Linked DNA regions of Oryzias latipes. The protein of the gene in region 6 purifies or fractionates together with the protein of the main gene of each other region. This does not show direct contact. Links are inferred from orthologs where the notes say so. Each region holds a gene or a part of one and is shown on either strand. Other genes may lie near its edges. The genes, in order: arid2, SWI/SNF-related matrix-associated actin-dependent regulator of chromatin subfamily D member 2, nop58, rnmt, xrn2, kpna1 and usp1.

Region 1 (3,500 bases), on a different chromosome or scaffold from region 6:
TCTGATGATGAAGAACAACATATCAAGAAAATTAAATGAACAACTGCTTTTCTGAGCATCTCTTTATTGAAATTATTGTAAATCAGGAGCAGACCAAAAGAAATTGTTTGAAAAAGATTCTCTTGGTGACAGAGCTACAAACTCCCTGCTCCGCTCCATTCTGATAGCCCCGCTTTAATGGATAATAATTAAAAAGAGCACTGGGAAGGCTTTTACAATAAATCAAAGGACTTAAACTGTAATAATCCACATGTAAACGCAAATCCTATTAAAGGATTTCAACAGAACGTTTCCGTTTTGATGCAGTTTTGCAGCATCTGAGACTCAAACCCGCGGCTCCAGCTTCACAAAGACCACAGCGCAGAGCAAAAAAACTGTATGTTGGCAGACAAGTGTGTGAAAGAAGGCGTGTCTTCCCCTCTCAGGAACACAGCTCATGTTTACAACACAACCCAGCATGAGATCCAACAGCAGGAGAAGAAAACGCTGCACTAAAGTCCAGAAACCCAAAGACGTCCAGGAGGAGGTTCCCGTGCCGTGATGAAAGATCGCTATGCAGGACATTTGGAAGCGTGGTTCCCTGGATTTGTGCGAACGCTGAGCGCAGGAGAGGAGGAAGAGGAGCTGCGGGGGCACAGAACGGATCGATGGAGGAACGCCAGGCAGAAATCTGAATGAAGACGTTTCAACCACTGCTGTGTCAACCAGAGCAGCAATCTCTACAGCATGTGTTCCCTCTGCTCTCCAAAGTGGCACATTTGTGAATTCCCAGGACTAAAGTTTTTCCACTGCAGGAGATATTAGTGCCCAGAGACGTTCACTCACTCCTGAACATGCTGAGAAAAACATCAACTTATAAACCATACATCACATCTCAAAAAGCTTTACTTTCAGATGGACTTTAGGTTCATGTTTTTTATCTTTGGTAATTTAATCTGAAAGCAGTTAACGTCTTAAATAACTTGAATGAAAGCGCTTAGCTACTTTTATTTTTGTTTACACCACATTTGGACTAAATGGTGTCATTTATTATTAACAGGGACATAAGAATGTATTCACAGAATTATATATCTGATTTATAGCTTTATAGCTCTGGCTTTGTTTTAAAAAAAGTTATTTCCAATCGGTCTTCGAAGTACTTGAATTAGGGCTGCAGCTATCGATTCTTTTTGTAATCAATTAATCTAGCACAGGGGTCACCAACCCTGTGCCCGCGTGCGCCCATGCGCCCCCGAGCACCCCTTGTGGCGCCCGCAGGAAATGCACCAAAAAAATTTTTTTTTAATTGAAGCAAATATTCAACAATCAATCATGGGATGTCTGTCAATGACACCAATATCAACTCTGAGATAAAGGTAAACAAAAAAACAAATACGAAAACAAAAATAACCTTAACCTTTGTTTTGTAAAGGGTCCTTGGGTTCCTTGAAAGGCGCTTTAAATAAAATGGATTATTATTGATATTATTAATATGACTTAAAAAAATAAAAATAAGGGTCTATTACAAAAGTTTAAATAGATCAAATAAACTACACAATGTCTGGGCATTCTTATGATTCATGTAATGCAAAGATTTAGAGAATAGGTTGAGGTTGGGGGGGGGGGGGGGGGCTAGGAGGTATTTAGTAAACAGGTCCTGTGGCGCCCTTCATACCACTTAGTGCCCATGAAATAGCCCTCAGTCTCGAAAAGGTTGGTGACCCCTGATCTAGCACTTAATCGATCGATTAATCGAGTAATCGGATAAAACGATTTGTGTGTGTTTTTGAACAACCAAAACAAATCTTGCATAACAAAAATGATGTGGTTGTAAAATGAACAAGCATTTGATTTTAAAGATCCGCTATGATGCAAATGTTACTTTTGGTGTTTTTAAGTTGGTCTTGAGAAGTGGCGGAGCTAGAACATTTTGTATGGGGGGGGGACAGAAGACTTTGAAAGGGTGGCACAACACCAAAATGGAAGGCCATTAGAAATAAAAGAATCAGAAAAACATATTTGATCATTATCATTGTTTATGTTTCGTGTAAAAATAATGCTTTTGTTATTTTTGCAATACTTAAAGAAGCCTCGCGGTCCACCGAAAGGCGAGCTACCGCCTGTCCCAGCCCCTGCCTCTCAGCGCCCCCTCCGCGGCCCGCGCTGGTCGCCGCGGAGCGGCTGACGCCGCTTCTCGCTCGCTGCTGGCGGCACGCGCGGGTATGCCAGCTCTATTTCTGCCGTTTATTTATAGATCTATTCTCCTGGGGAGCCGGTTTAACTCGTGCTGGTTTGCGGCGCCTTCCATCCGTGAAACCACGGTTCGACTCCGGGCTGCTCCCTGTTCCCTTCTCTACCTCTGCCGGTTCCAAGCCCGGTTTGAGAAGGTTGCGTCAGGAAGGGCATCCGGCGTAAAACATTGCCAAATCTATCATGCGACTCGTTCGCTGTGGCGACCCCAGATGGGAGAAGCCGAAAGTGGAAGAAGATTTATAGATCTATTCTCCGCCATCGCGCCAACTAAATTCAAAAGGTCCGTGAGAATAAACGGTCAAATGAAATCCCTGCGCCGCGCGAATAGTGCGCGTCATGGGAATTTAACGAGGCTTCGAGGCAGAGTTTTTGCCTCGAGGAATTTTTGTAATCGAGTAACTCGAATAACTCGAGGAATCGTTTCAGCCCTAACTTGAATTATTCCATTTTCCTCCCGTTTACAGCAATTTTGAATGAGAGGGCAAAGATCCTGTGGGACTTCCAGATCCAGACTGGTAGGATGGTAATGGCGAACCAACAGACATTGTAGCGGTGGACAAAAAACAGAGGAAAGCCGTTGTGGTGGATGTGGCAGTGCCAAGTGATGGGAACATCAGGAAGAAGGAACATGAGAAACTGGAGAAATACCAGGGACTCAGAGAAGAACTGGAGAAAGCATGGAAAGTGAAGGTGACAGTGGTGCCTGTGGTAATTGGAGCACTCAGGGCAGTAACCCCCAAGCTGGAGGAGTGGCTACAACAGATACCTGGAAACCATCCGCGGAAGAATTCATTAGATTTTAACCTCTGAATTGTGGACGGGTCCACTGGCACGGAAGTAAGCCTCGGCTTATTTCCCATCATCTCTTTGTTTACACTCTCTCCCACTGGCTTACAGCTCTCACAACAACAACAAAACTGTTTTTGAGCAAACACTGCATCTTTACAAACATAAAACCCAAACAGTCCAGATGTACAGAGGCGTTTGCCCCTGAATCCGCCCCCAGGGAGCCCCAAGGGGGGAAAATGGCGTGTTTCTGAAACGCCAAAGTGCTCACCTGCTGCTGCCGGCGCCGATGCGGGGACCTGCTCCACCAGCTGTGGCCGCACCTCCGACACCTGCTCAGCATTCGCCTGATGCTCGATTAAACGCACCGCCGTCAACGCGTCGGGTCCGAACGTGTGCAGGTCCACGGACACTAGCCGCACCAGGAGGTCTGGGCGAATGAAACGAGACGTTGACAAACGGACCAGTCTGCTTCTGCTGCT
Region 2 (3,500 bases), on a different chromosome or scaffold from region 6:
GTTCGGTGACGCCACATTTCTAAATGTTACAATGAATCTGTTGTGCTGCCGTGTTTATTTTCTAACGACATTCTCAGAATTGGAGGAAAATAAGCTGCAGTTCTGGAAGCATCTTCTGAGTTTATAATGACGATCAACTGTGTCCTTTAGTTGAAGACAGACTAGCTCTTGTGCGTTTTTATGAGTTCAGCTGCGGTGAGGAACTACAAGTCCCTCAGAAGAGGACATGTAGGCCAAGACTTTGTTATCCAACTGTGAAGCTGTCCACAAATGAGCTCTAATCGAATCTTTTTGGACTTGATCTTGAATCATGTGTCAGCGTGTCTTTTTTCCTCATGAAAACATGAAAAGTTTGAGGCTTTCTGAGTCCTTTTCTAATCTAAACGTTGATCCTTCTCTCTGTGCGGTTTAGAGCCAAAAGACGCAAAATGGCCGACAAGGTTTTGCCACAGAGGGTACGTTAACACCAACGGCCCCCCCCCCCAGAAAGAATTCAATTTATTTCCTGCTTTTGGATGTTTTGAATCACGACTTTTTACGTTTGGTTCTTTCAGATCCGAGACCTCGTCCCCGAGTCCCAGGCTTACATGGACCTCCTGGCTTTTGAAAGGAAACTGGATCAAACCATCGCTCGCAAGCGCATGGAGATTCAGGAGGCCATCAAGAAGCCCATTATGGTATGTTTCTACAACCATTTTAGGAAAAAACAAGATGTGGAGGGTTCTGACACTTTTAGTAGAACAATTTTTTTTGTCGTTTTCTTCTTTAACTTTAAGTAGAGTGGTCCCTCGCTGCTAACCTTTCAGAGTTTCGCTGTTTTCAGGATTGATTTAGCGCAATTTTTTTCTTCTTTTTTTTTGCAGTTTGTGTTCTGTGCTCTGATTGGCTGCAGACCAATGTCAATCAGTCTCCTCCACGCTATGCAGAATGCGTTCAGCTCGCAAAGATGATCTTTGTTTCCATTCTATAACACTGGGCTTATTTTATATGAAGATTTGAACTTTGAGAGTTTAAACAACAGAGAAAGCTGTGAAAATGTTCATAAACGTCTAAGAAAAGTGTTTAAATAGGGTAGTTAGGGGTTAAAACATCTATAATAATTGTTGAAAATTTGCAGATTTCTTCTGTTGCTATTAGAGCATAACTGCTGCGATAAACGGAGGAAGACTGCACCGATTGAGTGATTTGATGTTTCTTAGTGAGATCACAGATGATCGATTTGGTATTAACAGGCATACTAGTTGGACGTGATCAGTCTTTATGTCTTTTGCATTGTGAGCAGGTGCTGAAGCAAACCTGTCCCTGTTCAGATCCGCCTTTAGACGGATGAAACCAGGTTTGACGCAAAACATTTGATATTTGAGCAGCTTCACTTATTCATCTGACAAAGTCGGATAAATGCAGCAAAGATGTGTGGAGAATCGAGGCCGAAGAGTTTTTGTTGGCTAAAGAAGTGAAATGTTTTGCAGTGTCTCAAGTGCCTGATTGCAACATTATCAAATGGTATTTTAGGTTTTGAAAATTAAAACCAGACAAATCCACAAACAGTCAAGAAACTGTTGTGACTGATTTCAGAAACGCAAAGCAGAAAATGTTTCGAAGCTCCCTGCGAGTCTGAACAAGAGGCTCCAAACGTCAAAGACACCAAAAGCCCAGATCTTCCGATGGATCTGATAAACGCCAAACGTTTTGGATGGATAGGTGGAAGAAAGACAAAACCCTGAAGCTCTTGAATGAATCTAAATCAGCTTTTTGCTTCTTTTTTATGATGCAGCAAAAGCGCAAGCTGAGGATCTACATTTCCAACACTTTCACTCCAAGCAAGCCCGAGGGCGAGGAGTCGGAGAAGGTGTCCTCCTGGGAGCTGAGAGTGGAAGGCAAACTCCTGGAGGAAGTGAGAGACTCGTGTTCTTTTGCTCTTTGGCCATTATTTGAGCGGTCCGGTCTCTGCTCGCGTTTCTGAAAGCGTCAGTTGGCCCGCATCCTTGGCGCAGACCTCGCGGCCAGATGTGCGTTTACAGCTTTCCTCATCCCACCCCACAACTGCCTCCATACGCCGGAGTTCATGCTTTCTGCCGGCTTGAAACCATCGCCCTTTTGCATTCCTCCAACCGAAACACCCCCTCCCTCCTAAAATTGAGCTCGCTCTGTCAGCCGTGGCCCCCCAGTTTTTTTGTTTTTGCTCCTAATGTTCCCCCCCTCTTGCTCGCTGGTCCAGGCATGTGTAGGAGCACGGCGTGGACTGACAGCCAAAAGAGAACGGATGGCAGAGGAGAAATGAAAGGGGGCCACGCTGAGCAAACAGATTTGACGGAGGGGAAGGGGGGGGCGGGCGGGTTGCAACAGCCTTTTCTACTCAACAGTTTGGTTCCTCTTCCCTGATGCGGTCAGAGCCCAACAATGCAGCTGCAGACTGACACCGCGGAGCTCAGGAACGCTCGGCAGTCACGCAGTGCTGTGTTTCATGTGTTTGCAGCCCGGCAAGCAGAAGAGGAAGTTCTCATCTTTCTTCAAAAGCCTGGTGATCGAGCTGGACAAGGAGCTCTACGGGCCGGACAATCACTTAGTGGAGGTAACGTTTTAAGGACGTTAACACCACACTCTTCTTTTCTTTTGTTGACTTTTCTGATTTGTATTCCTAATTAGATTGGATATTTTTCCCTTTCAGTGGCACAGAATGCCCACCACCCAGGAGACGGATGGTTTCCAGGTCAAAAGGCCCGGCGACGTCAACGTTAAATGCACTCTTCTGCTCATGCTTGACCATCAGGTGGCCCTTCATGTTTGCAATTCACTTTAAAGCCCCACTCTATCTGTATTTCCATCATTCCAAGCGGTTTTTGCAAAATACCTGTCGATTTTTAAGACGTAGTTTCTGCAGCTCAGGACGAGTGACTGTTGATATCCCAGCATTCCTTTGTTTATACTTTCTCCCGCTAGATTACAGCTCCTCGCAACACCAAGCTAACATTAGTGTAGCAAAAAAAAAAAAAAGACTGTGAGCAATATTGTAGTTATCCAGCTTTACAGCTAGTTGTTATCTATTCCTGATTCATCAGAAATTCTTTAAAAAATGTCCTCCATTCTGAGAAAAATCCAACAAAACATGATTTTCATCTGATCCGATAAAAAGTCTCCAAAGACCCACTCAGATGAAAATCGAATTTTCTTTTTTTAACACATTCTTGTGGCATTTTTCTCGTGATGGAGCACATATGTAAAGAGAGTTCAAATTAAAAAAGACATCTCTGAGTATTTCTTTATTCAAATGGTTTTGACTCAGGAGTAGACACAAGATGCAGTTTGAAAAAGATGGTGTTTGTGACGTAGAAAACACGCTGGGCGGGGCCACAAGCTCCAGGCTCTGCTCCATTCCCATGAGGCCGCGTGCAGACGGTCAGCGGGAGAGCGTGTAAACAGACGACTGTTAGCGGAAGCAGGGCTGCTCCGCGCTAACAGAGCCACAACTCAAAGGCAAAGAACTCCTGCCGCTCTGCAGA
Region 3 (4,025 bases), on a different chromosome or scaffold from region 6:
GTCCTAACCTGCAGCTTAATCTGTTTAAAACTCTTCATAGGACTCACTTACACAAGACCAAGGATGTTCATGATGGGCCAAAGAGAATCAGACACTTGTGGGTTTTGTAATAACACCCTGGATGATTACCCGCATGCACTGTGGCTCTGCCGTCCACTTTCTCCACAGAGCTAGCAGGGTTTGGCCAAAAAGCTTTGCAAAAGTTTGGTTGTGGGCGAAACACAGGTTGCTGAGCTCGACTCTCGGATGACGTCACCACATTGAGTGAGAGGCGGGGCTTCAGAGATCAAGTTGTCTCTAATTTCTTGATTGGAAACAAGCTCAGGAATATAACTAATATTTATAAAAAAAAAGTGTTCTTTTGTGTGGGAAGTAATATCATATACAGATTTTTTTTTTATTTTACTCTAAAAGGCTTAAGAATTGTATGGTATTGGCTCTATAGCACAGAATGTGGGCATTAAACGTGACTTCTGTAACTGAATGCAAATCACAACATCTACAAGTTTGTAATAATTTTTATTCAATCGTCCATCTTGAGTCCAGATTTAGCTTCGTCTGGCTCCAAAAATAAACTTCAATCAATAATTGGAAAGAAAGGTTAACTTTACAGCAAGACGTTTGTTCGTCCATCCTTTTTTTTTTCAACATTGGAAATGTTTCCTCTAAGACACAGATTTAAAATCCCTTTTCAAAGAGACAAAAATATAAAATGGTGTCAAAGAAAGAACGGACAAACAGGAACTTTCTTTTTGTTGTGTCTAAAATTAAACATTCTGTAGTATAATGGAACAATGCAGATGATACCTTCTATGGGTAAAAAACAAAACAAAATTAGAGACATATCTAAAATAAATATATACACTGGCTCCATCTCCTTATTCGTCATCTTCCTCCTTCTTTTTCTTCTTCTTCTTCTTTTTCTCTGTTGACTGAAGAGTAAATGTGAGCAGTTAGAACAGGATTCCAGATTTTGCCCCCACAAACGTTTGGCCTAAGGCTCACCTCCATTACTGCCACCTCCTCTTCCTCCTCCTTTAGCTCTTCAGCTGGTTCCTCCACTGCTTTCTTGTCCTTTTTCTTCTTCTTTTTCTTGGGCGTCTCCGGTTCGGCTGAAGTTTCAGGCGTTTCTTCTGGAACACACATGGTCAAACTTGAGCGTCGTGAACATCTCAACCCCCCCGCGGCGTCCCTTCATCACTTGCTCACCTTGAACTTGGGGCTCTTTCTTTGGCTTCTTGGACTTCATCCCCGATGTGGTGGGCTCCTCTGCAGCCTCCTGCTGCTCCACCTCCTCGAATTTCCTCTTCTTTGAGGTGGAGGGGATGGTGGAGTCTCCAGATGGATCGTAAATTTTCACCTCGCTGAAAACAAATCAACACATGTCGCACAAACGTGCAGAAGTAAAGGATCCCTGCAGAGAGGAGTGCTCTGCTCCTAACCTCTTGTGTTGGTATTTGTCAGCCCTCGCCATGGCTTTGCCAGAACCGCTGATTTTACGGATCTGAAATGGAAGATTTGGTTATAAGTAACTGAGATTATGGCATCAAAATGGTGTTAAAATAGAAGACGTTTTAAAAAAATATATATATTCAAGTCATGATTCCAATAATTCACAATTTAGATTCTAATCATCTTTGGTACCTTCTACGGCATATAAAGTTATAAATAAAGTTTGTAGAGTTTGAATGGCGTTGGCACGACGAGCGAGCAAAAGCAGCTCATTTAATTTAAATTTTTACTGGCACATTGTAAAAATGTAATACACGGATCAATCCTGGATCAAGGTGAGCAAAACGATAGGTCATGCAATATGAACATATTAGGAATGTGGGCGTGGCTAACAAAAAACATCTGCTTCCAAGAATATCCAAACATTGACTTAAGCCGACTCTGATGAAAATTACACCAATCTGTTCGGCGGCCCCAGGGGACCGAAACATTAAATGATTGCTATGGCGACAAACCGGCAGAAAAGCGTCCATTTTGAAAAAAAAAAAAAAGGGACAGCCACTTAAAATAAAATAATAATAAAAAATTCGAACTTTTAAAATATAGAAATGAAATGGCAGGAAATCCTGAAATCTTTTACGTACCCCCCTGTCCTCCAGCTGCCGGAGTCTGGCCTCCAGCTTGGCTCGGTTCTCGATTCCCATTTCGGCGTTCGTGTCTTCTCCCAGAGCGTCGTAGCGAATAGCCAGCGACGCTTTTGCAGCGAGCATTCTGGAGATCTGCAGAGGAGGTGAAAGGATTGTTCAATTTTTTTTTATTCTTGATGGTGATCAGTCATCATTTATCCCTCCCTCGGTTCTCCGGAACATACTTTGCCCTTGTTCTTGGCAGTGGTCTGTCCCACTAGGGAGGCGTGGTAAATGAGACCATATTTGGGCGTATCTTTGCGGGTCTTCAGAGCTCTGAAAAGAGCTTTCTCTGCGCCCAGGATCTGCACCGTGGAGGCCGGATGCTTGGCCAGATTCAGAAGTGAACCTGAACACGAAAGAGTTAAAAAATAAAATATTAAGAGTGGCAAATATGATCTGAACTTGGTGTTGAGGAGAAAATAGCCTAAAGAATATGAGCTCAGAAGAGGTAGTGACTTAAAACCGTCATCAGATTCAGGAAAACGACGTTTTGTCCGCATCATCATTGCCCGCCTTGTTCCCTCTCTGCTGCACAAAACCTACCGGCATGCGAGATGAGCCGGGCGCCAACCAGCTCGCCCACCATCACCGTCAAGTTGGGAGCGATGGCCGTCATCCGGTTCTTCAGGTAATCGTAGAGCTGTGCGCGGTAATCCGAGATCTCGATCACCTGGGGAGGAAGCAGATCCGTTTGAAGGTCGCGCAGGAGACAAACGCTTTGGCGCCGCGGCGAGCATCACGTGACAGTTCAGATGAGGTAGTGACTGAAAACCCACACGGGGATATTCAGGATGAAGACAACTGTCGACATCATCAGCACTGCCACTGCTACTCCACAAACCTTTGAAGTCAGACCTATCAGCAAAAAGACTCTTCTTTGGGATCAGACAGATCGTTTCCGATTCAATTTACTTGAGATTTTCAATAGAGTAGTTCCATTTATTTGCAGACAAAACATGCCCAATAAAACCCAAAAATGTTTAGTTTTGGATGCATTCAATGCTTATCCAGAAAAATCATTTTAGTGAATTGTGAGAAACTTTCATGCGAAGATCTTCTTGAATGCATAAACTCCTTCAGGCTACTGGAAAATGTTCGACTCGACTTTGTACTTCAGCTTTTTTGTTAAGTTAATTTTTAAATAATAATCTGTGTCATGCTTAATCAAAATAAAGCTTCAATTCCACAAAAAAAAAAAAAACTTCTTTGCTTTTTGAGACATGAATGCAGAGAACATTAAGCTACAACGATTATTTAGACCTAACAATTTAGGAGACTATAAGTTCCAATCTGGACTCAGTTTTTAATTTTCATTTAACAATTTGCAGTTGAAGTTGATTATTTAGAATTTACCATGTAATGCTAATATTTTTGCTCTTTTCCACACCAAATTTGATCTGAGGACGCACCACCATCTACAAATATTTTTTCTTTCCTTTATCCTTAAATCCTTGGCCGACGTTTTAAAACATAGAGCTGATTGCAATTTTGTTAACATTTCAAAATTAATAAACTACAACAAAAATACGGCAACGTAGCGCCCAGCACAGACACCAGCATGCGTTCCATCAAGGAGAACAGACCTGATCGCAGAGATGTCGAATGTTGGCGATGTCCTGCTCCGACACTTCTGTTCCCATGGAGATTTCAGCGGCCAGCTTGACCTCTGCCTCCACCTCTTCTGGAAGGATCTCCGATAGATCGGTGGTCGCCACGTTTGTGCGGTCGCCTGCAGAGAGGAGGGACCAGCGTCAGCTTTCAATAACCATGAAGGGATTGTTTTTTCTTTTCTTTTTGTTTTTAAAAAGAGAAACGTTTAAATTGTCTGTCTCAACACTGGATTCTGTGATAAAGAGAATCACTGAAAACATCTGCAACAGTTGC
Region 4 (4,066 bases), on a different chromosome or scaffold from region 6:
TTTGCCTGACAAAGATTACAGCCCATTATTGGGATGAGACAAACAAACCAAGAGGTGCCAACATGACAAACCGTTCATTCAATTATTCATAACTCTACACTTGAAGGGACGAGACTGGAAAGTGTGTCCTGTAAGTGGGAAACCAGCAGGGAGCAGCGTTGTGCTAAAGAGACGGATGTTTTCCTTACACCAGTTCATAGGCATCTGGCGTCGTTCCAATGAAGAAGCCTCCGGGCTTCAGACGCTCACAGGCGTTCCTCAGCATCATGTCGGCCTTCTGCTCGCTCTCGAAGGAGTAGTGATACACAAACTGACAGCTGCAGATGTCGAACATCAGCTCGGCGTCGTCCAGCTTCTCTGGCAAAGACTCCTGGGACAAAGGGATCAGGAGAAAGGGATTGTGGGTAGAACAGCAGAGACATGCATGCTCTTTGGTTTGCAGGTCGTACCTTTGAGCAGTCGGCAGTGATGAACTGAGCGCTGAAGATTTTCTCGTTGGAGTAACTTTTCCTTTTCATCTCATCGTATCGGCTCTGGCACTGCTCCACAGACACGGCTGCTATGTCTGGAGAACCAGAAAAGCATAAAACCGTCTTCAAAATGGATCAACGTAAAGTAAAAGCGTCAAAAGCGTGATTTAGTTTGAAATTAAGTATTTTAAAAGAGAACATGACAAAAGTGGTCTTTTTCTGTCTTGGTTGTTCCCACTTTAAAGACCCACTCCGGAGAAAATTGTGTATTTTTTTGTATTTAAGATGTTCCAGTGACATTTTTCTGATCATAAAGGACATATATAAAGAAGATTGAGCTCAAAATTACATTTCTGAGTGTTTTCTTTATTCAAACAGCTATAAATCAGGAGACAAACAATACAGTTTGAAAAAGAGCTTATTTGTGACTTAGAAAACACACAATGGTCGGACAAAAAGCTACCAGCTTCACAGTTCTCAGCGACAGGGAGAGGGAGAGGGGGCGGGGTTGCTCTGTGGCAACGGTCCTGCCCACAACTGAATCTCTAATGAACTCCTGACGCTCTGCAGGAACTATGTCCTTGAAAACGACACAGGTTTTTGGATTTTTAGGTTAAAAGCGAAATAATGCAAAGGCCACCGGGAACGCTTTGAAAAGAGATCAAAAGATGATCGGAGTGGGACTTTAGAGGTCAGCAAAGGTCAGCAAAAACTGATCGACCATCATTCCAGTCCAATGTGTGGAAACACTTTAGCAAAGACATGTGACCATCCAGTGTGCTAGAATGTTCTAAGAATGTTCACTTTGGATTGTTTGAATGTGGAAAAACAATAATGGGCTGAACTTTAGGAAACTAAAATGGATTTGACATTCATTCTTGTTTACTTGTTTGTTTGGACACATATTTCATTTAGACTTAATTATCTTGCAAGAAATACGAGGAGTCTGGAAAACGTCACTGTTCAGTATCCAGGTAATTTTTACACTGGTTGAAGTTTTGGCTAAAGATGTCCTGGATTGATTTTAAGTGAGTGAATCTGATCGTTCAAAAGGAACCAGAATCAACGGTGAATTGGATCGTCGACCAAAAATAATGACGTGAATCAAATCGTTGATAAAAATGAATAGTTACACCTCTATTTGAATCTAAATCCCAAAAAGTTTGTCAGTCATAACTGATTACCTGCACAGACGAGGTGATCGATTCCTCCTCTTCTCCACTTCAATAAGTCTCCACCTTTTCCACAACCAAGATCCAGCACACACACCCGGCTGTTCCCCGCCTTCCGCACCTTCTCTAAAATCTCACCTGTCGTCAAAAATAATAACAATTCCTGTTTGCAAACATTGTCTTAGCCAAAAACCTTCAGCACTCTGTCATCATCGTTACCAATCAGGACACTCTTCAGCCAGTTGTTGAAGTTTCTCATGAAGAAGATTCTGCTGCGACTTCGAGCTGCCAGACCAACTTCCTGCAGCTTATTGTAGTGGCTCGCCACCTTAACACCGTGATCAGAAACCTGAAGAACACCGTCCTGTTATATTCAAATGCCAATCGCTCCATCATATGCAGATCTGCTGAATGAAACTGAGGAGAATTGTACCTGTTTTTTGGTGGGTGACTCATCATCACCTTCATCTTCTCTGACTCTCTTCTTCACCACTTCCTTCTGAACTACCTCCCCACTAAGATTCCCTTCATTGCCTTCTTGTTGTTCATTCTCCTGCTTTGTCGTCTCTGTTTGTTCAGACATCCTTATCCTATAAGTACAGAAGAAGATCCTTTGTCTCTGCAATTTTTTTTCAACGATATTACTGTCCCATAAATGGGTCCAAACTGCAGTTAGATAGGGCGTTTTCAAAAAAGAGAAGCTCTTATTAGTAGTAGTTTATTTTTTCAAAGTGCAGATTTGGCAAAAACCTAATAAGTGACGTAGCTTTTTAGATTATCGAGCGTAGCTATAATGCTAGCAGCAACTGAATTTTAAAGTTTTCTAATGAGTAACCTAAAACGAGGAATGAGGGGAAAACAAAACATTGTGTGATCGTTACGTACTACTAGGAAGTGAGCGGCTAACGTTAGCTTATGGGCTGTTTTCTTTTAAATACAGTTAGCGGCAACATTTGTTAAAATTCTTTTTTTTTACATCAACCTAAGTCCAAAAGCTAAAATGTCTCAAATTGAACGTATTATTTGGCGTTTAGCTATATTTGAGCTTAAGATAAGTACGTACTTACAGCACTCTGCAGACAGGACGCTTTACGAAAGACAACTTCCGGTTGTGATTACGTCATAATCCTGCGTCCTATCCGGCTACTTTGTTTTCTTCTTCTTTTTTTAATTTTTTAACCTTATTTGCAAACGTATGTCTATGTAACAAGTACACATAACTGAGGTTAAAAAATAAAAATAAAAGAAGTAAGATGGCAAAATGCTGACATGAATAAATGAAATAATCCTCACTAATACTCACACTTTCACATGTTTGTAAAAAGAGGTCCTAGACACAATTTCATTTTTTGAATATGTCCAATAGTAGACTTGACCCCTTGTTATGCATACAATTTAAACCCTTAATATAATTTTATTGCGATTTTTTTTTAATAAAATGAACTTAGGCCGTACTTTTTTTCCATTTTGAGGTATGAATAAAACATTTTGAGCTTTTTTTTCCTTCTTCTTCCTCTTTTAATTTTTCTTTCTTTATTCTACTGTTTTAAAAAATAATTTTTCTTTATAATCAACTTATTCAGTAAAATTGTGAATGCCAAATGGACTAAAAACAATATCAATATACTTTATATGGAGCCACAGCACAACAAAACAAACAAAAAATTATAACGGCAGAGTTTGTTCTAAAAAACGGACATGTCCATTTTTCCTTTGTTTCGTAATAGCTTATCTGTATTCTACTTACAAATCAAGTCAGGGTGAAACATCAGTCAGAGATTATGTTACAAAAATGAAAAGGTGGCGCTAGAGAAAATGGAATGAAAACACAAACAAATTAAGGAAACAGCAACTCTGGCACAGCTGGGACAAACACAACTCAAAACAACAAGAATCTTGAAATATTTTTGATAGATTGTGGCAGTGTTCTTATTTATGGTGGATTAATTATTTGGTTATCCAAGTGAATAATAGCCTACCGTTAGTTTTTAAGTTATAATGTATGGCTTTAAAATGTGTGGGCATATCAACAGATTCAAGGATTTAAAAACCATGTTACTTTCCTCAAGTAATCCTAAAGTAAGTAATCAAAGTAATCAAAAAGATTATTCAGAAGCATAATTGCTATTTTACTGAGATTTTGTTTGATCATATTCTTTTTGTTTGTATATATATTTCCATTATTTATTTGTTTTTATTTTTCCATCCACCATAAAGCCTACACTTTCATCATTTGTACATCAGTAACTTGCTGCCCTAGTTTAAATTACATCTAATATGTAACTGAGTAATTTGACGGTGTTGTTTGTTTTACTGTGCTCATTTTTATTTTTTATTGGTGTGTAAAAAAAAAATTTAGTTTAAAGGAAATTTTAGACAAAATTTCATTCTTCAGGTTTGCCTTTTATTTGTCTGTTTGGTTTG
Region 5 (3,500 bases), on a different chromosome or scaffold from region 6:
GAATCACTATTTGCAAAAGAAAAAAATATTTTTTTTACCTGCTTCAGTTTTTTTAAAGAGTCAAAATATCTACAGTTAGTGAGGGTTAATATTGAAATGTACCCAAGAGCTCTGAAGCCAGACTGGTCCAGGTGAGCCTGTTGTCTGTTGGGGTTGAATCCCAGCTGGGGTCTCCATGGTCCCCTGTTCCCCCTTTCCCAGTCTCCTGGCTTCAAGACTTTAGTGGGAATCCTTAAAAAATATTCACAGCAAAAAAAAAGTAAATAAATTCTGCAGTCCCACAGAATGTGGTCCACAAAATAAACCAATGTTTCCTTTAAGTGGTACTGCAGTGCTTCTAAATGTAAAGCTGCAGCAAAAACTGTGGTATAATGGACTAAATAATCGTTTATAATTTGTATGATTTACTATGTCACAAAAAAGATTAAGAAGTATGAGGCAATGTATATTAATTTAAAGTAAACATAGAATTTCAGTTTCAGCAAAGCACCTAAAATATTAATAATAATAATAAAAAATTCTCACTTGGCTCCAGGGAGTAGAACTGCTTTGAACACATATCCAACTGCAAATTCAGGGTCCTTGAACTTCACACTAGAAAAATATGTTTTAACTCAATAAAACCATTTTTCGAGAGTTCAAAGTCCATAAATAATAAAGTCAACAGTTTGCATATCTTCTAAATTGTGTTGTTGCCTTATAAAACTAAAAGCTTTAGTAAAAAAAAATGTGCAAAGAAGGACATTTGTTCTTTTAATTCTGTTGTTTATCAAAACCATTCAAACTTTGTGCATTCTTTATACATTTTATATTGAGAACATACCTGACTGCAGTACTTTGTGAAATGTCCCGCAATGTAGGGATAGGGGACTTCACTGGCCTGAAAGAAAAAGATACGATTAAATGACCGCCATGGTCATCTGGCTTCAGCAGCTCTTGCGAGACATTAAAGTAAATTTTTTAAGACATGAACAAACAAAAATCAGGAGGAAACAGATTTTCCTTACTTGTCTGGTAGAACAGGGTTGTTATCAAGATTTAATAACCCTTGGATTCCAAAGCACAGCTCTGGTGGAACCACTGTGCCCTGGCAGAAACAAACATAGCAGATTAAAAACTAAAAAAGACATAATTGCTACAGCTTTTAATAACTGATTGTACAAATTAGGACCATGCTATAAGTATCTTAAACTGGATTTATCCTCCTGGAGCCTCGTACCTTGTTACATTCATCCCGGTAGAGTTCATGGATGAAGTCATACAGCGGGTGACTCTTTCCAACAAACAACACATCGCTGCCCAGACTGTTTCTCCTCGCTGCAACAAAGAACGTGGAAACTTTTCAGGGGGAAAATACTGTAAGCAGAATTTAAAAACACACTGCAGCTCTAACAGAATTCGTTTAGATAATGAAGGCAAAAAAGTACAGAGAGAGAGAAAAAAGCACACAATACGTAAAAATATATGTAAATTCAATTGATTTAGGAAAATTCTAAATGATTTGATAAATTTTGAGGAAAAACAGCAAATATATACAAATATATGCAAATGTCTGCAAATATATATTAAAAAAGAAAAACTAGTCATAAATGATCAAGGAAAAAAAATCTTCTTGATGAAATAATCCAAGTGGACATTCTTCCGTCTTTAACGGAAAAAGGCAAAAAAAAAAGTTATAAGGGAACAAAGAAACATTTGCGGATTAAAAACAAACGTTATAGTGAATAACTCACCATAAAACATGGATGAAATAAAAGCATAGCAAACACCATACACAAAATCAATTTTTAATCTTATTTAAATTACTAACCTAATAAGACAATATGGAAGAATTAATGTAAGAAAAGTTAAGAATGGTGGGAAAAAAAGCGGTTACAAATACAGCACACAGATATGTTTCTAACACTTGATCTCCAAACTACTTGTAGTTTAAAACCCTTTGTACTGAAAGACTTTTGCTCACCTTCCTCAGGCGTGAGGTCAGGGTAGACTTCTGCCAGAGCAGCTCTCAAACGCCGTTCATCCACAAAAGGCAGCAAAGCAACACCTTTGAGAACAAATCATACTTTAACATTCAACCAAAACAAATAAGTTCTGAAGCTACTTGAGCCTTTTTTGGTTTAAATTAAAACAGAAAAAGCACTTTGCAGCATTTTCAACTTTAAGCCTGCCATCAAAAAATGCTCAGGATTCCCAATGTCGACTCAACATTCAAGTAAAACATGTGCAATATATGTGATGTTTGGTCCCAGCGCAACTGATGACATAATATGTCTAAATTCCAATCGACATGCACAAAAAAAGTAAAGACCTGGAGGGAGTGTTTGTCTATTACTATGTGGTGCACTCATGCTTCGCATATTAAGTCCCAATTAGTGTTTATTTAAAAAAAACGCTAAAATTAAATGTCTTCAAAAAAAATAATATTCTTAATTCTGCTAGAAGTTTTAGCAGACCCAAACTATGTATTCATATATAACAATTTCAATCATTGACATGAATCAGTGGTATCACGTCTTCCTAGCAATACAAATTCACAGAAACATGTTAATAAATGTTTATTTTGTGCAGGATAATAGCTACAAAGGCTAGCTTCCCATTTCTAGGTAAGGCTTACCTTGCCAAGCGTATTTTTTACCATTGAGGTCAATGGCAAAATCGTCAGGGTAAAAATCAATGATGGAAGACTCCTGTGAAGGACAACAGTAGAAGACCATTTGAAAATGATGAAGGTAAAAAAAAAAGATGGAAAAGTCTTTTTTTGTGGTTTTAAATTAAAGACTTGTCAGAAGTTCCCTAAATTGTCTTCAGTTTTCCTAAACTCACCGGGCTGACCATGAGGTTTCTCCACGTTGGTGGCAGGAAGTTCCCACTGGCAGCAGGAAACACACTCATTAGCTGCTCCAGAGGTTTGAACTGAGCACAACAACAAATTTATGTGAGAATTTTAGTGTTCAGACATGTTTGAGTTAGTCATCCACATAACATAACGATCAGTCTAATAATTATCTAAAACGTGAACCTGTAAAATAATAAAATTGTTGATTATGATCTAATTTCATCATTTTCTCAACAAAATGCACTGAATGCAATGAACTCACAAAAAGAACTCAGGAGAAGCCCGTTAGGATCAGCCACATAAAAATCTGAATGATTGAGTGCTTTCTTACCGGCATGGTGTCCTTCTCAAATTCCGTGAACATTTCTTTGATGTCTTTGAAGTCAGAGGCAAACGGAGCGTAGTGGAATGGGAAGTACCACTTCCAGGATGCACAGCCCTGCAAATCCACAGGCAGCAAAGCTTTACTGACAGCAGTTGCATCCGAAACATACAAGTTCAACAAAACTGTGTGAAGCAGAAACTTAAAAGATGATTTTGTTTCATTATAAAGGATATTCCTCAAACCTAACTTTTTGTTCATATTAGAGTCAAACTTCTAAAAAAAAGCCTAATAGTGAAGCATTTATTTAAAGTTGCAACAATGCATAACATTTATTTT
Region 6 (4,081 bases):
GCTGGGAGCTGGCTGCGCCGCTAAAAACAATCTTTAGCTGGGATTTGTGGAGGGAACAGAGATTTTACCAGCCATGTTGGCACCTTTGATTGGTTAGACTGATGATGTACATGTTTGAGCCTCTAAACTTGATTGGCAGAAAGGGTTTTACAAGTAAAACTTTTTCCAAGTTACAGAGATTGGGTAAAGTTGCAATGTCAAGAAAAAGTTGCAAGTGTGCAATTCCAACATCTGAAAGTCCTGGAGGGTCGGTAAATAATTACCAACAATGGTTTTTAACTTAACTTGTTCTTTGGGAATGAGAGACATGTTAAGTATCATCTTGAGAAATTACCTTGGAGAAGTCAGGAGGAGGATTTTTGCCTCTGCACAGGTTAGACAGTGCCCAAACTGCATTCCTCATCATTGTTAAACGATTCTGTTTAGCCAATAATCTGAAAAAAGGAGTTCGATGTTCAAACATGGACTTGTTCATATTTATCTCACGTGAAACGAGAACCATAGAGCTGTTTAACAATAATCTGCTACTTACTGGATCAGGGATGGTAGAATATTGCAGTCTATGACAAAGTCTCTGCATTCTGTGCTATCACCTGCTATATTACCCAAAGCCCACACTGCCTACAGAAGAGGAAATAATTCAAGTTAGACATAAAAAAACGAATTTACGAAATATGTAATAATTTGAAAATAAGAATATGAAAAGAGATAAATATTGACAACAAAAATGTCCCTCACCTGTTCTTGCACATCTTCAAAATCCGAGGCGAGCATCTCTATGAATATGGGAACAGCTCCTGCCTGGATTACGACCCTAGTCTGGTGGGATGTGCCTGAAGCAATGTTGGTCAAAACCCACGCAGCTTCAAACTAAGAAAAACACGACCAATTTATGTCAGGACAGACAAAAAAAACTCCATCTAAAACACTATAGCTCATGATTACTAGACTAGCTGCATTTGTTCAGGCATTAAACCACTTTACCTGCAATGTGCAATTTTCTCTTCTTTTTAGGAACTCAACAAAACGCTCCACCACCCCTGAAGTGGCAATGACCTCATCAATAGGTGGATTGGGCTCTGTTGGAGACAAAAATTGAGACAATTTTTATTTAATTAAAAATTAAAAATAAATCAAATCAGAACAGTCTTTCGTTATTTTTGTAATATTAAAAAAAAATGAAAGAAATGAAGATGATGCAGCAAATTGAATTTGAACATGATCAAGATTGTTTCTAGTTCTAGATAACTTACAAGGCTGTTTAGCTCTAGTTAAACAGTAGAATGTGTTGATGCATTTGTTCATCGCTCTATGCGATATAGAACAGGCTGGCATTCAGCTAGACCTTTACCTTTAGAAAGGAGTTTTCTAAAGCGTTGTGTGCCTATTAGCTGCTGCTCTGGAGTGCTGGAGAAAATCATCTGAATCATGTCCTCAGAAATGACCCCACCCTTTGCAGAACATAGTAAAAACAATAACAGATCAGTCAAATTTATTGTGAAAGATGCAACAAACAACACCATAAAAAAGGTTTTATTGAGCTAATTCTCACCCCAAATGGGTCCATGTTGTTAGCCTGGGATTCCAGATAACCACTATCTGCCATTCCATCATCCTCCAGGGCACCATCATCCTCCACAGTGGCAACATTTCTTCTTTTAAATAGCTGCAAAGACACAGTCCTTAAAGTTGTACAAAGAAATAGTACAGCATCTTTTGGTTTTATTATTATATGTACTTTGACTAGGTAAGAAGCAGCATAACAAAAATAACTGCTGTTACCAGTTTGTATATCTTCTACTTGTCTTATATGGAAGTAACACAATTCCATATTGTAAAAACCTAAGCAATTTATGAGGGGGGAAAAAAGCTAGGAAAACACACTAAATTATTGTGTTTGATGGATGAATATAAAGTTTACACTTTACTTACTTGTTCGTCCTTCTTCTGTTTTCTGAGCTGCAGGCCTTCCTCTTCCCTCCTTCTTCTCATCTCATCTGTGTTGAGAGACTTGTTCTTGTAGCTCTTCAGTCGTGCATTATCCTTCCCCTGACTCATTTTGTAGCCTGAGAAAATGAAGAATTTTAGTCTCGTTAGTAGTCCCGGTGGTGCAGAACTTTAGTGTTACAGATCCTGGAAAACCCACATGTTGTAGATGTATTGTAATGTCTGTATTTTCTTTTACATTCTTCTGTGTATTTCTTCAGGTTTTCATGACAATCACCGCAATGTATAGCAAAACCAAGAATGCAGGTCGTTTTCAGACGTCTCGAACATATTACTCAAGATTGTCAGAAGGGCTTGTAGCAGTTAGCTTTATAGTTTGCTAGCTTTCGGCATGTTTGCCCAATACCAAAATCATTACTGTGGAACAAATGACTTTTCTTTCTATTTATAGAGAGATATGGGTTCTCATTAGAAATCAAGACATCAAACAGTCTATAGTAAAAAATGCTTATTTACTTAATTTCCCACATGATTAGCTTGTTGATGTCACAGCTCTTGCTAGCCTCTGCTGCTAACGAGCTAGCTTGACGTTAGCTTAGCTGAAAACCCCGAGTAACACATGCCTTTTAACAGCTTATTTGTCACCAAACTTTTAAACACACATACTAAAATCATTTATTCGTAATCTAAAAGCGGTAAAAGTATAGAACAACAATGTGTAGATACATTATACATACCTGTCAGTTTAGGTTTTATAATCCCCTAAATCGCTAAGCCACTGCTTCTGCTGCCGTCGCCGGTATGCCACTACGCATGCGTCAAATAAACGTATTCAGTGACGCTCCTTTGGCTCCACCCACACAAGGAGCTGGCCCTGGTAAACAAGTGAATAGTTGTGCGGTTTTCAAAAAAAATGGACACAAACTCTAATGATGGAGTTTCTTTTTGAAGCACAGTCGGTATGTGGGTATCGCAGTTCAATCAATGGCTGAAATCGTGCTTTCAAACTTCAAGGAGGGGTCGTGTGTGCAACACCTGCCCGCGTGCAGGTGTGTTTTTAAATGTTTTTGAAGTGGCCCTGACTAGACGATCCGGCGCCTGTGGTCTTTAAATGACCCGAGGTGGACACCGTGTCCATCCAAATGATGAAGTGGCCTTAAATGTTTGGGCTGCAAAAGATTAACAGATGTTAAAAGTGATACTTCTCAACAAAGGAAAAAGAAATTAGGATCATGACATAAAAAAATTAAGCTAAGCAATAGACAGAACCAACACAATGGCCTAATTGGCGCATACATTCAAATCTGCATCCCAAAAATAGCTCTTAAATTAGTTTTTTTAGCCTAATTTAACCTCCTTTTTATTCCTAAAAGTACGAATTGATACACCTGTAAAATAATCTGAAGAACAAAGCCTTTGAGTGCCCAAACATCTGCAATCATTGTTTCAGGTTTTATTTTGAAAGTATTTAAATTTAAAACTCTCCAGACTAACTTGGAACTGATCGAAATTTGTGTTCCAAAAATGGCCTCGGTGCAAACAACTGTGGATGTCCAGAGCGCGCACGTCCTCAGCGAGGACTGCTTTGACATGTGGCACGACTACATGAACCTGGGCGCACTCCTGCAAAGGCTGTGCAACCGGCGGCAGGTCGACCCCGAGAAGCCGAAGCAGGAACCCGCGGCGCCGTGGCGCATCATCCAGACGCAGAGCTCCGCAGAGACGAGCTCCGTCAGCAGCCTCTCGGACACCAGTTGCGGCGGGAGCCCCGCAGATTACTGCCGCTTCTGCAAGCAGAACGGCGAGACTCGGCAGGTCTACCGCTCGCACGCGCTCAGGTCGGACGACAGGAAGGTCACCTGCCCCATCCTCCGAAACTACACCTGTCCCATCTGCGGGGCCACCGGAGACCGCGCTCACACGCGCAAGTATTGCCCGCAAGCGCAGAGAGAGGATGCTGCGAGGATGCTGCCCGCCAACAAGTTCTGGTAACTGATGATGATGATGATCCCACTGAAGAGACCAGTTATCCACCGTTGAGACAATGTTTTCAGTTAAACACCAAAGGAAAAACCGAAATCATCGTTACAAGTTTTTAGAGTCTATAGCAGTTTCAGAGCTGGTTCATGTTTGA
Region 7 (4,176 bases), on a different chromosome or scaffold from region 6:
TACCTACAAACTTAATCCAAATGTAGGTTTTTAATCAAAAACAAATGCTTGGCTGAACCAGATCTAAAAGTGGAATGCCCCACTAAAGTGAAAAATGTACTGCTTGTCAATCTGGTGCAAGAGACCGAGAAGAAACCCCCATTCTGAGGCTTAAACCGATGAATATCTTTGCTTGCAGTCCCACAGGAAGTGTCGCACCTTTAAAGTATTCCCATCTATTACTGTGTTAGCATCCTCGCCGCAACATCACTGGAATGCCAAGCAAAGGAAGCAAAGAGGTTCCTGGATGTACATGCACAGTGCATCGATACATCTTTGCAGCTGACCAAGCAGCCACTCTGCAGCCGCAGCAGCAGCAGCAGCTGCAGCAGCAGCGGGTCGTCCAGCGCACATACCGCCGCACTGACACATGCATCAGGGCTAAACGCAGGGATGCAGCGACGCACCTGTCGTTCACCATTTTTGTGCAGCATGCAAGAGCTCCAACCTAGTAATTAAAAAAAGGGGGGGAGGGGGGGGGACGCCAGCCACAACACTCCGTAGCCAGGTTAACGTAAACGTAGTGCAACTGATATCCAGCGGAAAGGAACGGCAAAACAGATCGGAATTGGCAGCGAACAAATAAAACTAACGTCGGTTTGTACGTCAAATCCCAAAACAAAAAAAAAAATGGAATCGCTTCTTACCATTAAAATAGTGGAGGAATAGTGTGCTGACTGTCAGATGAGGAGATGGTCCAGTGGAAGATGGTGATGATGATGCTGGACAGTTCATCTCGCCTTTTCTTGGATAAATGTCGCCTCCTTTAGGTTGTAAATGGGAATGAATGCAGGTCGAAATTAATCGCGGGAAAAGCACAGTTAAGTTTTTTTAAAGAGCAGTTTAATTTTCGAAACAACAGTTCCGTTAAGAGGTAAAACGTCGAAGTTTTTGGATCCTTGCTTGAACTGTTGTTCCTCATTATGTCAAAGCCCACTACGAAATTATTCTGGCCTTTGCTATATATCAAATAAAACTTTCTATCCATACATTTCAAAAACTAAATTTTAATAAATTTTTAATTTTTTTTCCAATTTTAAGTGAACTTTCAAAAAGCGTTTGCAACAAGAACCCAATGTTAAGCCACTAAATAATTGACTACAAAAATGGCGTTAACGATTGGCCATACTGAACATGTCTTACTTAGGTGTCCTAAAATTAGCCTGTTGTTTTACAACTTCGTCTGTTAGGTGATTTGAACGTTAAATATTTAAATTCATTTTTTGGAATGTAAATATATGATACAATTAAAAAAAACAAGTCTTTCATATAAAGATGATTGTTATTTGTTTAAAATTGTTGCAGGAATTCGACTGGCGGCGTAATGGCTTACAAGTCTTCAAGCAGGAAAAAGCGCCAACTTGTGTTGCGCCGTCAGAGTAGTCAAACACCCATGTTAAGCGAAAAAGAGAACAAATGTGTTCAACTGGGGTGCTATATTATACATAAAGCTGGAATGGCTGGCTTAGGTAAGATTTTAAAATGTATTTACGCCGTAAAAACGGAATGGCTAAAAGAAAAAGGCGTTCGGTCTGTTTACTCACATCAGTTCTTCTACCGCGCCAACCTCATGTTGAGTTTAAGTGTTCGATCACAACTGTTAGTTTAGTGTGGTTTGGTTTCGTTTGTTTTAAACATTAAAATGCCATTTTAAAAAACAGTTTCGAATTAAGAATGAATGAATTCAGATTCATTATTAGGTTGGTGCTAACCGTTTGTTTGTTTGTTTAACAAAGTTTAACCGTTGGCTTGCTTTGAGCTGCAGAACTAAAACTATCTGTAAAGATAAAATCGAACCATTCTGCTTGTAGTTACATAACTCCACCATAAACTGATTTGCGTAGCTACGTTCGTTCTTGTTGAACTCTGATGGCGCCCGCGAAATTGAAACCTTACAATTTCCATTTTTTGGCCAGTGGGGGTCGCTGTTGCAGCTGAGTAGAAAACGATCACTGGGAATCCGGCTGTGAAGATGCCAGGCCTGCAGGGAGATAATGTGGCCACGCAGGGGAGCCCCGTAAAGAGGAGTAAACTTTCCCTGAAGTTTTTTCAGAAGAAAGAAACCAAACGGGCTCTGGACTTCTCTGAAGCTCAGACAGAAGAGCCCAAAACGACAGAATCAGAAGAACCTGAGGGAAGGTGAGTCTTTGATGTCACTTTAAACAATCATAATTCTTCCAGATCATTAGCCACTGGTTACACGTGGAGACCATTTTGCTTAAAAATTATATTTTGTCTGTGTATGACAAGTTTGCTGTGTGCAGTATTTATGGAAAAAAAAAACTCTACCAATTCAGAGGCCTGAAATAAATAATAATGATAATGCAGTTTTAAACACACAAGCCTTTTTAAAAATGTAAGAAGGTTTTTTATACATACAATTTCATATTAGTTACAAGGATCCCTGCCAAAAATACTAAATAGATTTGCTTATGTCTCCAGAGTTCATGATGTCTTTCTTGACTGATTATTTTTTTCTGAATTTCATTCAAAGTCAATGTGGTGAGAATACAAAAACAATTATGTAAAACTGATGGTTTAAGTGCACAAGCATGGAATCTTCATGAAAAAAAACTCTAGGTATGTCCTGAATTTAAATATCCTTTGACAGAGCAGCAGCTTTGCGTGGGTAATGTTTGTGATTTGAGGCGCTTCATGCCAAATAACGGTCTGTCAAAATAATGGACAGACATCCTCATCCAATCAATCAGTGATGTCCCATAATATCAACATTTCCAGTGTCTTTTTTGTGTTATGTTTATTAACATTTTGATTCCTGAAAATAACTTCCGTTTTCTGAAATGTTTTATTTTGTTTTTTTGTAATACTATTTTTTGTTCTTCTTCTTTCCTTTCCCTTTTTTCTGCTGATTCTGACACAGAGAAAAGCTTTTCAACAATCGTATTTTTGTTGTGTAAAATCCCATCTTCCTCATGAAGAGGTGTTTTTTATCGTGAAGGTACAGGTCATGTCTCAAAGACTACACTAGTTTGATACATGATCTTTCTGTCTTCAGCAGTGAACAAGTGGTGTATGGTCCACTTCCGGCTTCACCCAGCAACCCATTGCCACGTGAGAAGAAGGAGAACTTGTTGCCCTTTGTTGGGCTCAATAACCTCGGCAACACTTGCTATTTGAACAGTGTGTTACAGGTAAGCTAGCATCCACATTGGACCGTCACAACACGTGCTATGCTGCTGGGAACTTTAGTGTCAGAAGGTGGTTTGCGACATTAGGACAAAGCTCAGATGGAGAGTGATGGCTACTAAAATCAGTGATGAAAGTCTTCCGGGAATTCCCGGAAATCCGGGTTTTTGAGCAAACCGAACGTACTTTCCGGGAAATAAAGACCTGATCTCTACGGACAAATCGCTTTCCGGATTAAAAAATGGTCTGAAATCAGCTAATTTTAGCTTTATTTTCTATATTTCTCCGCAGATCGCTTCCTCTATGGTCGTGGCCATCTCTCGTCTTCCCGGCCTAATTGACCAATGACGGGACGTTTTAGTTGCTTTCGGATGCGTCGACGGGTCTGATTGGCTCTGTCTGCACCACGTGGTCAGCGTGACTCGCTTCCCTAGAGACCAAAACTGGCGGACCCACGCTAAATTTTCACAAACACATCTGAAGAGTTTGCGATCAAATTTGTGTTAAAATAATGGCAGGCATCGTCATTATTGAGCGTGGTCACGACCTCAGTTGTGAGAAGACGATAAAAAACAAATTGAAGTGGTCTTGGCTGGAAAAAAAAGATTTTACGGTAGTGTAGGTCAAATACTTTTTTGTGTAAAATAATCTCAAAACCACATTTTGAAATAATTTCAATTTTAGTTTTGAGTTTCAGTTTTTATTTTGAATACATTTCTCTAATTTATTAGTATTTCCTAATTACCATGATTTAGTTCAGTATAGTTGACATTAATTATAAGTATTTGATGGTTTGGACCCGCACTCCCTTAAAAAATAATGTTTACAATGTTTAGCTTAGTTTGTATGTTTGTTTTGATATTTCCCAGATTACTTAGTATTGGTGTTAAAGAATTGATGTATTATGTTATAGAATTATAGTTTAAAGCAGATCCCATATTTTGATGTAATTATAGTTTGAGAAAACAGTGCAAGTGGATGTTGTACATC

Evidence for each region.
Region 1: the proteins of kpna1 (region 6) and arid2 purify together in Homo sapiens (co-immunoprecipitation; 3 studies listed by BioGRID and IntAct, with this or other methods). This does not show direct contact. The link is inferred for Oryzias latipes from reciprocal best matches to the Homo sapiens genes KPNA1 and ARID2.
Region 2: the proteins of kpna1 (region 6) and SWI/SNF-related matrix-associated actin-dependent regulator of chromatin subfamily D member 2 purify together in Homo sapiens (affinity purification with mass spectrometry; 3 studies listed by BioGRID and IntAct, with this or other methods). This does not show direct contact. The link is inferred for Oryzias latipes from reciprocal best matches to the Homo sapiens genes KPNA1 and SMARCD2.
Region 3: the proteins of kpna1 (region 6) and nop58 purify together in Homo sapiens (affinity purification with mass spectrometry; 3 studies listed by BioGRID and IntAct, with this or other methods). This does not show direct contact. The link is inferred for Oryzias latipes from reciprocal best matches to the Homo sapiens genes KPNA1 and NOP58.
Region 4: the proteins of kpna1 (region 6) and rnmt purify together in Homo sapiens (co-immunoprecipitation; 4 studies listed by BioGRID and IntAct, counting the BioPlex papers as one, with this or other methods). This does not show direct contact. The link is inferred for Oryzias latipes from reciprocal best matches to the Homo sapiens genes KPNA1 and RNMT.
Region 5: the proteins of kpna1 (region 6) and xrn2 purify together in Homo sapiens (affinity purification with mass spectrometry; 4 studies listed by BioGRID and IntAct, with this or other methods). This does not show direct contact. The link is inferred for Oryzias latipes from reciprocal best matches to the Homo sapiens genes KPNA1 and XRN2.
Region 7: the proteins of kpna1 (region 6) and usp1 purify together in Homo sapiens (co-immunoprecipitation; 6 studies listed by BioGRID and IntAct, with this or other methods). This does not show direct contact. The link is inferred for Oryzias latipes from reciprocal best matches to the Homo sapiens genes KPNA1 and USP1.

The regions. Positions count from the first base shown.
Region 1 is NC_019881.2:4,002,990-4,006,489, reverse strand, and holds part of arid2 (AT-rich interactive domain-containing protein 2), read right to left. Parts: intron 3,449-3,500; coding exon 3,290-3,448; intron 1-3,289. UniProt on the Homo sapiens protein: Involved in transcriptional activation and repression of select genes by chromatin remodeling (alteration of DNA-nucleosome topology). Required for the stability of the SWI/SNF chromatin remodeling complex SWI/SNF-B (PBAF).
Region 2 is NC_019877.2:6,914,882-6,918,381, reverse strand, and holds part of SWI/SNF-related matrix-associated actin-dependent regulator of chromatin subfamily D member 2, read left to right. Parts: intron 1-412; coding exon 413-455; intron 456-554; coding exon 555-677; intron 678-1,774; coding exon 1,775-1,894; intron 1,895-2,476; coding exon 2,477-2,572; intron 2,573-2,668; coding exon 2,669-2,770; intron 2,771-3,500. UniProt on the Homo sapiens protein: Involved in transcriptional activation and repression of select genes by chromatin remodeling (alteration of DNA-nucleosome topology).
Region 3 is NC_019860.2:15,370,027-15,374,051, forward strand, and holds the end of nop58 (nucleolar protein 58), read right to left. Parts: intron 3,871-4,025; coding exon 3,725-3,870; intron 2,967-3,724; exon of another isoform or gene 2,883-2,966; intron 2,812-2,882; coding exon 2,685-2,811; intron 2,656-2,684; exon of another isoform or gene 2,574-2,655; intron 2,488-2,573; coding exon 2,324-2,487; intron 2,232-2,323; coding exon 2,097-2,231; intron 1,505-2,096; coding exon 1,443-1,504; intron 1,365-1,442; coding exon 1,210-1,364; intron 1,134-1,209; coding exon 1,006-1,133; intron 933-1,005; coding exon 879-932; 3' UTR 501-878; downstream 1-500. UniProt on the Homo sapiens protein: Required for the biogenesis of box C/D snoRNAs such as U3, U8 and U14 snoRNAs. Part of the small subunit (SSU) processome, first precursor of the small eukaryotic ribosomal subunit.
Region 4 is NC_019869.2:4,905,986-4,910,051, reverse strand, and holds the start of rnmt (mRNA cap guanine-N7 methyltransferase), read right to left. Parts: upstream 2,801-4,066; 5' UTR 2,710-2,800; exon of another isoform or gene 2,706-2,709; intron 2,233-2,705; 5' UTR 2,226-2,232; coding exon 2,076-2,225; intron 1,992-2,075; coding exon 1,862-1,991; intron 1,781-1,861; coding exon 1,655-1,780; intron 566-1,654; coding exon 450-565; intron 371-449; coding exon 189-370; intron 1-188. UniProt on the Homo sapiens protein: Catalytic subunit of the mRNA-capping methyltransferase RNMT:RAMAC complex that methylates the N7 position of the added guanosine to the 5'-cap structure of mRNAs. Binds RNA containing 5'-terminal GpppC.
Region 5 is NC_019882.2:16,207,589-16,211,088, forward strand, and holds part of xrn2 (5'-3' exoribonuclease 2), read right to left. Parts: intron 3,279-3,500; coding exon 3,171-3,278; intron 2,917-3,170; coding exon 2,827-2,916; intron 2,691-2,826; coding exon 2,618-2,690; intron 2,048-2,617; coding exon 1,964-2,047; intron 1,318-1,963; coding exon 1,220-1,317; intron 1,088-1,219; coding exon 1,008-1,087; intron 881-1,007; coding exon 824-880; intron 595-823; coding exon 526-594; intron 232-525; coding exon 103-231; intron 1-102. UniProt on the Homo sapiens protein: Possesses 5'->3' exoribonuclease activity. May promote the termination of transcription by RNA polymerase II.
Region 6 is NC_019878.2:17,889,062-17,893,142, forward strand, and holds the start of kpna1 (importin subunit alpha-5), read right to left. Parts: upstream 2,801-4,081; 5' UTR 2,685-2,800; intron 2,067-2,684; 5' UTR 2,059-2,066; coding exon 1,933-2,058; intron 1,667-1,932; coding exon 1,553-1,666; intron 1,452-1,552; coding exon 1,352-1,451; intron 1,080-1,351; coding exon 985-1,079; intron 871-984; coding exon 739-870; intron 622-738; coding exon 533-621; intron 435-532; coding exon 335-434; intron 1-334. UniProt on the Homo sapiens protein: Functions in nuclear protein import as an adapter protein for nuclear receptor KPNB1. Binds specifically and directly to substrates containing either a simple or bipartite NLS motif.
Region 7 is NC_019862.2:16,400,442-16,404,617, reverse strand, and holds the start of usp1 (ubiquitin carboxyl-terminal hydrolase 1), read left to right. Parts: upstream 1-1,376; 5' UTR 1,377-1,508; intron 1,509-1,583; exon of another isoform or gene 1,584-1,940; intron 1,941-1,955; 5' UTR 1,956-2,011; coding exon 2,012-2,178; intron 2,179-3,055; coding exon 3,056-3,191; intron 3,192-4,176. UniProt on the Homo sapiens protein: Negative regulator of DNA damage repair which specifically deubiquitinates monoubiquitinated FANCD2. Also involved in PCNA-mediated translesion synthesis (TLS) by deubiquitinating monoubiquitinated PCNA.